2 linked regions of the Drosophila melanogaster genome follow. The gene in region 2 interacts genetically with the main gene of each other region. Each region holds a gene or a part of one and is shown on either strand. Other genes may lie near its edges.

Region 1 (5,020 bases), on a different chromosome or scaffold from region 2:
TCTATATACATATCTATCGAATCATTATAATTTCAATTATTTTGTAATTTATTTTTGTTTTGTATTCGCCTTGCTTCTTCCACACAGCGTGAAAAAAAAAAAAAACAATCCCGGACGGCAGCGGCAAAGAAACAAAAACTAAAATGCGTCTGGTTAAGAGAAACGCGCACGTCAAACTGAAATGTGCCGTATAGTTTCCACATATTTCTATTCTTTGTTTTGGCCGGTTCCTTTTCTGCCCCTGGTGTTTCGCCCATATAAACCTATAGGGATGGTTGCTCTAGGCATTCGTATTCGTGAGACAGCGGATAGAATGCAGTGTGGCACATACCCTCGCAGCGTACTATTGATAGAATAAAATAGAATGGAAGTAGAAGCCTTCAAATAGCCAGCCTGCAGTGTGGGGCGTCAAGTGAGAGTCTGGGTCAGCAGGGGTATGATATGGTATGGTATGGTATAGTATGGTATGGCATGGTATGGTATGGTATAGTCTATAGTCTAGCATAGGTAAAGGTGTGCTACGGAACTTCAGACAGGGGGCGAGTCAACACTATCAAGGATCAGAGGCATGGTATGCTATGGTATCCATATATGATATGATAAGGAATAGAATGTTATAGTGTAAGGTATGGAATATATGGTATAATAGGCAATAGTAGTTTGTAGTCAGCTATGTAGCTTGCAATGGTAGTTAGTAGAGTAAATAATGGTATAGTACTGCATAGTTAATCTGCTATATTAAGAAGAAACTGGACTTAGTTCAGTTTAATAAAGTATGGTATAGATGGGTGTAGTTAATAATAGAATGGCGTCGTATGGAAGCAGTTCGCCAGTATCCAGGACAAGTCGGGACAGTTCGATCCCAGTTCTATCCTAGGCACAATACCAGAATTTCCCGAAACGGAAACGACTGTATGTTTGGCTATCAAAAAAGTAGAATGCATATTGCACAGCTTGGAAATGCATGGCGCAGTGCAGGGGTTGGGATCGTTTTAGGGGGTGAATGTGCCATTTTTCATAATCTCGTAAGCACTCCACGCACACAAACACACACACACACACACACACACTCACACACAAAAGGACGAAAAGGAGTGTAATGAAACGGACAAAATAGCTGAACCGTGCATTAATATTATCACATGGCATTTCAGAATTTCTGAATTCAAACAGCAGCGGTTCAGTTCGGGATAATTTCCAATTAGAAAAACTAGAAACAGACTTTCCTACGCTTGAACTCAATTTCCGCCTCGAAAACTCAACACGCAGCTGCTCGTTCTGTTCAGTTCTGTTCGGTTTTAATAAGGGAATGTGTGTTCTTTTTCCTGCCTTTTCCATTCCTACCCTTAGAAGCCGCAATTTTGTTGTGCGGCAATTGGAATTTATGGTATGCATTCTGCTTTTTCATTTTCTTTATGTATGCCCCGTCGCATACACATACATAATGTACATACATATATATATATCCGCTTATACATACATATACATACATACATATATAAACGAAGAATGTGCCTGGATGGGATGGTAAGGAGCTCGATGATGACGTACTTAGCGCACTCAGGATCAAAGTTGGGATCCGCAATCCCTACACAGCCAAACGCACTTTGACTTTCAGCAGAAAACCGTAACAGGTAAAAATTATTGTTCGTATCTTTTTAGTGACAAATAATATAAAAGGACAGTGCAATGCATTATCAAATTATTGACAATATGTTTAGTATAGCATATATATCCTATATTCGTGTGAAGGTGCTATCAAAAGGATAATCTTTTGGTTACATAAAATACAGATCAATACACATGATGTAGAGATCATTTTTTAGGTCTTCAAATTATTCCCAAGTCAATAGAGTTTTATAGGAAATTAAGGTGGCGATTCTAACCCTATAAAGTGTACAAATATATTTTCAATCAGCATAACGATCTGTAAAAAATTTTAATTATTCACAATTGCACTATAGAACTTAAACTGTCTTAAGCGAAACACTGTACACGTATTAATTCATTGATTATTCATAGGGCATATAGAGTTCGGTGCGCTGCCCTTTCATTATTTCAACCCCTAAAGCAACGCACTCCCATTTTCTGCTGCCGAAAATCTTTAGAAGTCAGCACAAACGAATTTGCAACCTGGCAAAGGTTAAAAAGGAATTTCTGTGAGGTGCAACGACAAAATAATTAATAATAAATCTTTTGTCCTCTTAGCTTTTAATGAAATTATGTGAGGTAATGTTAATAATGAACATAAAGGAATAATGAAATTACGAAATACTTTTCTAAGAGCAAGTGTTTAAGAACAGGCAGCTAGAAAATAGACAACAAATGTGCGAAGGAAGTGAAAACTAGAATGGTTCATTAGATATATTTACGATTTTGATCGGATATAGGATATTTTAAGCTAAAACAGGTGACTAAACTTTAAATTTTCCGAAAGCCTTTTGAAGTTTATATAGTTCAAATATTGTTGGAAAATTACGTACGTTTAACTTAACATAGGAAATTTAAGGCAGAAAACCATAATTGTGTAAAGAACTCATAATTTGCTAAAAGTTCTTCAAATTTATCATTCATTGATATGCTGGAAATTGAGTAAGTACTTACTTATTGAGTAAGTAACGCAGCAGTCATAAGAACGATCGGTCAACTAAATGGGCTGAGCTTGCTGTTTTTTTTTTTAAGTAACTGCGATTAACTTTATCACAATCGGATATGTTTTCGTTGCTCTTAAAGATATTCGCCAATGACTCATGACATACTCATTCCGTAGGCTACAGAAGCCCATAGCTGTGATAGCAACTGGTCATATACCAACGTGAGTAATACATTTTGGTTGTAACTCGTAGAGTATATGGTGTTCGGCTTGTCCAAGTTGACTTTTTCATTGTTTTCACTTCATTTTCTTTTATCACTTATCAATAGTTGCGTTGTTTGCAGAAAGGTATTACGATATTATTGTAAATATACACAGCTCATTTAGAAAATTCATTTCGTAGAATGCGATTCAGAAGTAAAAATAGTAAGTGAATTATTGTAGTTTTGCTTGAAAGTTTTTGTTTAAAACCGACAAGTTGCGAACAAGTGTTGTGGCAAACAATGCCCACAAGTATACCAAATCTTTTTCAGGTTTTTTTTTTTAATGATTCCAATAGGACATTCAGCTATTCGATTAGTCTTCGTTGCTCACTATTGCCAGTAAAGTAATAAAAATAAAAGTATATGTCCATATGTACATATATCTTTTCATAATGTGTATCTATGTATATGTGAACAGCAGACAAGTTGATGGCTCTTAAACTGAGGTAATAAATATATCGTAAAACAGCAGATCGCGTGGACATGTCAACATATTTCGCCAAAATCCAGATCGACAAAATCCGTATGTATATGATTTTTTTGTGCTGCGAATTGTCTCCCACACTGCATTTACAAGCTTCTGGCCAAAAATAAGATTATGCAATGCTGTGCAAAATGAACAACACATGCGAGAAAAGCTCTTTTCGAAATCCGCTCGGTTGGCAAAATATTTTCGAGCTAACCCCCCCCCCCCCCCCCATTCATCTTATAAGAACCACTGTGTTATCTTAAACCTGACTAATCCATTGAATTATTCATCTTGGCAATCGAAAGTTGGTGGCAGCTTGCCCTCTCTTTTCGGATTTAGAACGCTTAGATTTAGATTTGGGTATGTATGTATGTATGTATGTATGTATGTATGGTTTACATGTACGATATGTATGAGATATGTGCAGATGGGTGGAGAGTTTACTCTATAGCGATGGAGAGAAGGTGCCCTGCAGTTCAGGTCTCCGTTTTCGGGTGACTTTCTCAAATGAAAACCCGCCATGCATGTGCATGTGCTTTGCATTGAGAACCCACGAGGAAAGTCACCAAAGAAAAACCAGAGATCGACAAACTTTTGGGCGCTGGATGTGGAGTGGGTGTGTGGGGTGGGGGTGGAGTTGTAGGTTTATGGCATAGAGTTTGGATTTACGAGGTGTGTCTTTGTATGACTGGGTAATTCGGATGGGCAACGGACCTGCCTGTTGTTCTGTCTTCTCGGCAACTTCCAACTCGCTGCAGCTCAGGTTGTTCTGCAATTGCAGCAGCCCAGTGCTGCAAGTGCTCGAGCTGGTGATGTTTTTCATGCAGCCAGCTTTTTTTTCGTAGATTTCCTTTAGGTTTCGCTATTCACGAGTATGCCCGCCCGGAGGAATAGGAATACGACTTCGAGTACGAGAACGAGTACGGAACGAGTGCGGTACGAGTACGGTGCGTTGTCCACTTAGTTTACGGAATTAAAAGAAATCTGTTCGCGCTAGATTTAGACTCTGATGTCACCGTCTCCACCAACAACATCAAACGTTGTTGTCGTCTCCGGCTGGTCAAAGGCAAGGCACTCACTCTTGTTATTATTATTAGCTTGTAACAGTAACTGTTTTTCAGCTTTTCAGTTTTTCAGGCTCTGCGCTGGGCGTGTTATTATCTATGTCGTTGATAACACGATGGAGCGGTTTGTTAATTTATATTATACATGTGTACAAGTTATGGCAGCGTCTTTGAACGGGTCCGTTGACGGGGGCGGGGGGTTTGTGCTGACTTTCAAACGAAAACCGAACAAATGAAACCCTTTCGCTTTGGATTATGTGGCTCATTCGATACTTGTTTTTGCACTACTTTACTTTTCGATTCTACGCGTGCACACACATGCAAACTCGCAATACTTACTCACATCTGCAATAATTCATGAATTGGTTCGGAGTTCTTAGGAAGTGAGAAAGATCTTTTTCGGATTCCGTTAAAGTTAAACAGGCAACACACACACACACATCTGCATCTTCTCAATCTCACTCTATTCTCGCTCTCCCGCTCTCATCGCTCTCCCGATATATGTACATATATATATAACTGTGTATTTTGTATGAGCAGCTTTGTACAATATCGTGGTCTTTGTGAAAGTGAGAATGTGTCAGTAAGCCTTTCAGTGGAAATAAGGCGCAGCTGCGGCAATAAGATGAAG
Region 2 (4,954 bases):
GGCGGCTGCTGCTGGGTCGCCTTTGCTCTTGCTCTCTTTCTCCCGCTCGCTCTCCATCTCTCTGTTTTCGTTTCGTTTTCCCTTTTTTCATACACTCTCTCACACAAACACACACACACACTCTCTGGAGGTGGTCGGCAAAAAGGGGGCGGGGATCGAAGCAAGCAAGAAAAACGAGCTAAATTGCATTTTCGTCGTCAACATCGCTCGACTTGCATTGCAACGAAACAGGGGCGCAGAAGGGGTGCGGAAAATTCCAGGGGGTTGGGGATTTTCATTGGGATTAGCCCAAGATCAGCGAACACCCTCACAAGCTTAGGATATACGGTCTTTGGGAAAATAGCCTAAAATTCTTCAATGTGACTTAGGAACTAGGATGCTCAGTATCCGTTAACTTTATTTGTATCAAAAATCATTTCATTGAAAAGAGTTTAATCGTTTAAAGATTACACTGGAATCCATATAGCACTATGCTCCATTGCGTTCTACACTTTCTGCGGGGTATCCCTATGGTCGTCACAATCCCCGCGCCAAACTTCCTCTTCCTTTTCTTGTTTTATCGTTCATTTACTTTTAAAAGCGAGCAACAACAGCAAAAACAGCCCACTGTATTGGTATTTATTGCCCTGCTCTCTGCTCGTTGGCTATATGCGCGCGCGTGTGTGTGTGTGTCTCTGTGTGCTCTGTGGAATGCACACGATCGACGCCAATGGAGCCTCACCTGTTCCAGCAGCAACAACAACTATCACAACTACAACAACAGCTACAACAAAGGCAGCAACAAACAACAACACACTCACATAATCCACTGCGAATTGCATGCTGGAATGTGAATGGAATCCCAGCGATTTTCCAGCGTCGCTGACGATGACGCCGCTGTTTGCTGGTTTTAAGCAAAAACAACAATCGCAACATCGCCAACAAGCACAAAAACAACAATAGTAGCAGTAGTAGTAGTAGTAATAGTAGTAGTCCGTCCCACTAGTGACTGCAACAACAAAGTTTTGCACATTTCGGAGTCGTTTTTTTGGACTTTAGCTTCGATTTCAGTTGCAAGTTTTGTGGGCTTGTTTATATCATAGCTGTGTACCATAATATTTGGAAATCCGATAGAGAATCGATGGTTTACTTCCATTCTATACAAAATAGTGTATGTAGAACTGAAGTCTGCTTTTGATGGCAAGTATAAAACCATTCAATAAAGTTGCTGCTAGTTTTAGCTACTAAAGAGTATTCAAACTACAGATAGCTGTGTCACACACATTCTGCATCTCATTGCAATTAAGTTTATGAATTTTCGGCTGGCTGCCTCCACAAAGGATGAGGTCTCGATGTCCCGCCCCTTCGTTTCTTGCTTTGTGCTTCGTGTTTCGTGCTTTTGCTTTTTCGCGAGCACAAACGGGCCGCCTGAGAAATTATTGTCGCACTGACATTGAAGTGGCGGCGCTGCCTCTAATTACAAATTACAATGGGCCGCAGTTACTTGTGCCACATTTCGCATTTGCATCTTGCGTCTGTGCATTTACTGTTCTGCTCCCGCGGATTTTCCCCATTCCGTTGATTGTGTACTCTAGTCACATGCAAATCGGAGGCAGCTGCTGCCCACGGTTGCATCAACACCGCGCATACTGTCACAAAGTTGATCTCTGCTATGACTACAGTGGCTTCTGCCTATGTGGGTTAATGAAGAATATGCTCTTCCATTTCATATCCATATGTGGGGGTTATTGTTACATATCAAAGTAGCATTTTGTGATTATTAGATATTTGTGTATGACTCATTCTTTTTGCTTAAGTCCATCAAATATGAAAATTAAATTTGTTTCTAACTGGAATATTTTCATAGTTTCAAATTGCAATGATTCAAAAGTTTCCTTTATAGTAAATATCACAATTCTACAATAGTCCTCGCAGTTTCTTTTAGTAGATCTTCACTGTATTCAAATCTTGCTCCGTTTTCGCCATGTTTTCCTTGTATTCCCGCAATTACCACTATTATTATTGTTATTGCTGTTACTCTAATTGTACTACTCTCAGTTTTCGTTGTTTAATGTCTTGTTGATTTCTCGAATTTGTAATTCTTTCGACACACGAATATCGCAGCCAATTAAGCGCTGTTTCAGTTGGAAAATGGTAAGAGGAAACGGGAAAACCGAGAAAAGTGCGTGCATACATTGACCTTGCCTAATGTCGTTGGCATTCGAAATTACACTGGAATAAAGTTAAAAATTCTACGAGATTGATAGTTTTCCATGGACACCAGTACCCTCCGCCAGAAAGAGAGGGAAGACAGAAGAATTTAATCCGATTTGTGTAGCAACCTCTCGCTCGCTCTCTTTGTCTCCTCCGTTCTCCCCCACACACACACACTCGCACGCAGCCGTACTGATTTATTCCACGAGAGAGCGAGAGCGAAATATGTAAATACAGCCTGTTGCATTTGTGTGTGTGCTTCGCATTTCGTTTTCAGGCACTTTTCCGCACATTTTTGATTGCTTTTCGTGCGTTTTCCGTGCAGTTTTCCTTGCTTTTCCACACAGGCAATTGGAAATGCACACCAACACACACATGGGGCGCACACCAGCGCAGCCACACACGCACTGGCTTACACACACACACACTCGCACACATTCAACAGATATTGCATTTTCTTTTTGGACTGGAAGATACGCAAATTCCAGCTGCAAACGTTGCATTTTCACCAGGCATTTTCCGCAATTACCTTCTTCGCGTTTTCCACGTTTTCCACGCAATTTCCTCGCTTTTCGCCTCTTTGTTCTCGCCTTTTTCGCGTTTCCCACACACGGCACTTATTGCTTTTCCTCTTTTTCTCCGTTTTTCCTTGCCTTTTGACGACAATTCGCTGATATTTGCCGACGTATTTTCACTTGATTCACTCGCGTTCGCAACCCATCACTTTTCGCGTGCATTCAATCGCATTTTTCAGGCATTTCCGATGCGCGTTTGGCTTAAATTTAGTAAAATTAATTCGTGGTTTTGTTGCTGCCGTCGTGCTAGATATGTTCACATATCGATAGACCGATATCGATAGACAGAGATCTAGGGAGGAGCAGCTGTACTTGGTCTGGCAACCACATCAGGTATCGATAGGATTTGACCGTGGTATATAAACATCGATATTATACTGAAAACAAATATAAAAATATTTCAGTGATCAGTTTATATAAATTTATGTAATACGACAGAATATAGAGAGCAAGTAAATGTTATCGGTTTTAACTTAAAGAACAAGACTTGTTAGAATTGTTAATGAGGTTTCAAACCATTTCTGTGTAGCACGTAGCATAGACGCAATCCTTTTCTCATATAAATAAAATCAACTGATTTCAAAGTCTTAATATTTTAAAATATAATGCAGAACATTGTTTTGAGTAAGAATGAAAATATTAACTTCCTGTGAAAAACAGAAGTTTTAAATGCATCAAATTAGTCGCCTAACTGCAAGTCAAACCAAATTATACAAGTGTTTTAGTTTGCCGCTCAGTTTTTGAAACCTCGATAAGGAAAACTCAAAGCTGCGTTCCAGAACAGCGCTATCGATAAGCTATCGTATCTGCATGGTTTTCTTTGGATTTCCTCAAATTTCAAGGCACTTTTCTAAGTTTACCAAGATGTCGAAAAGCGCGCTGGTGATTTTGGCTCCCGGAGCGGAGGAGATGGAGTTCATCATAGCCGCCGACGTTCTGAGAAGGGCGGGCGTAAGTGCTCTCAACCTTTCCATTAAATCACTCTGTTCTATACTTATACTTACTATATGATAGATCAAGGTCACCGTAGCCGGTTTGAATGGCGGGGAAGCGGTGAAGTGCTCGCGGGATGTGCAGATCCTGCCGGACACCTCGCTGGCCCAGGTTGCCTCGGATAAGTTCGATGTGGTGGTGCTGCCCGGCGGACTGGGTGGCTCCAATGCCATGGGGGAGTCCTCGCTGGTCGGTGACTTGCTGCGCAGCCAGGAGTCTGGTGGCGGACTCATCGCCGCCATCTGTGCCGCGCCCACCGTTTTGGCCAAGCACGGCGTCGCCTCCGGGAAATCCCTCACCTCGTATCCCTCAATGAAGCCCCAGCTGGTGAATAACTATAGGTATACCACCTCTTAAGTTTATTTTCCCATGATCTTCATCCCATTTCTTTTGATTATTTCTTTAAGCTATGTGGACGACAAGACGGTGGTCAAGGATGGCAATCTGATCACCAGTCGAGGTCCTGGCACCGCCTACGAGTTCGCCCTCAAAATCGCCGAGGAGCTGGCGGGCAAGGAGAAAGTCCAGGAGGTGGCCAAGGGTCTTCTTGTGGCCTACAACTAACATATTTACACTTATTTATGAAAACAGATTGTTTCAAGAGCAACTCATGCAAACAACAACTGAATTAAAATAAAATTATTCAAGACAGAAGTTGTGATTCAATTTTATATTTGCTATTTGAAAGAAGTTTAAATGGAGAGCTAGGAAATGGCATGTTGTTAAAGATATATTAAAGAAATTTATTTAAGTGAATTTAAATGTCATTATTTGAAGCAAACGGTTTTCATTTAATTAGTTTTGAGCGAAGTATAATTCTATCATAATGAATCAACTGAACTGCGTTAAAATAAATTGTTCAATGGGCTTTAATTTAATTTGTCATGAAATATAAATGCATATATGGCATGAAAAAAGAAACATCTATATTATTTCATTTGGTTATGACTGGACTATAAATGAAATTAAAAATGCATATATTAAAATGGGATGTGAAGCCAAATGGAAGTATTGCTGACGATATATTTACAAAATAGTACATTATTAATATATTTAGTTATATTCAATATTTACATTGATTAAACATTCTGCTGCATTTAATTGTAAAATTTTAAAAATAGCTGAAAGTAATGGCCTACGGTGGAATACCCCTACTGGGTTGGAGTCCCTGCACACCACAACCCGTGCCGCGA

The links.
Region 1: of wts (region 2) and sd, changing one suppresses a phenotype caused by changing the other (phenotypic suppression), as found in Drosophila melanogaster (2 studies listed by BioGRID).

Annotation. Positions count from the first base shown.
Region 1 is NC_004354.4:15,813,315-15,818,334, reverse strand, and holds the start of sd (scalloped), read right to left. Parts: upstream 3,037-5,020; 5' UTR 2,605-3,036; intron 185-2,604; exon of another isoform or gene 1-184. UniProt on the Drosophila melanogaster protein: Transcription factor which plays a key role in the Hippo/SWH (Sav/Wts/Hpo) signaling pathway, a signaling pathway that plays a pivotal role in organ size control and tumor suppression by restricting proliferation and promoting apoptosis.
Region 2 is NT_033777.3:30,803,566-30,808,519, forward strand, and holds the start of wts (warts), read right to left. Parts: upstream 3,055-4,954; 5' UTR 2,723-3,054; intron 1-2,722. Other genes in the region: dj-1beta, read left to right, coding at 3,633-3,719, 3,783-4,102, 4,169-4,325. UniProt on the Drosophila melanogaster protein: Negative regulator of Yorkie (Yki) in the Hippo/SWH (Sav/Wts/Hpo) signaling pathway that plays a pivotal role in organ size control and tumor suppression by restricting proliferation and promoting apoptosis.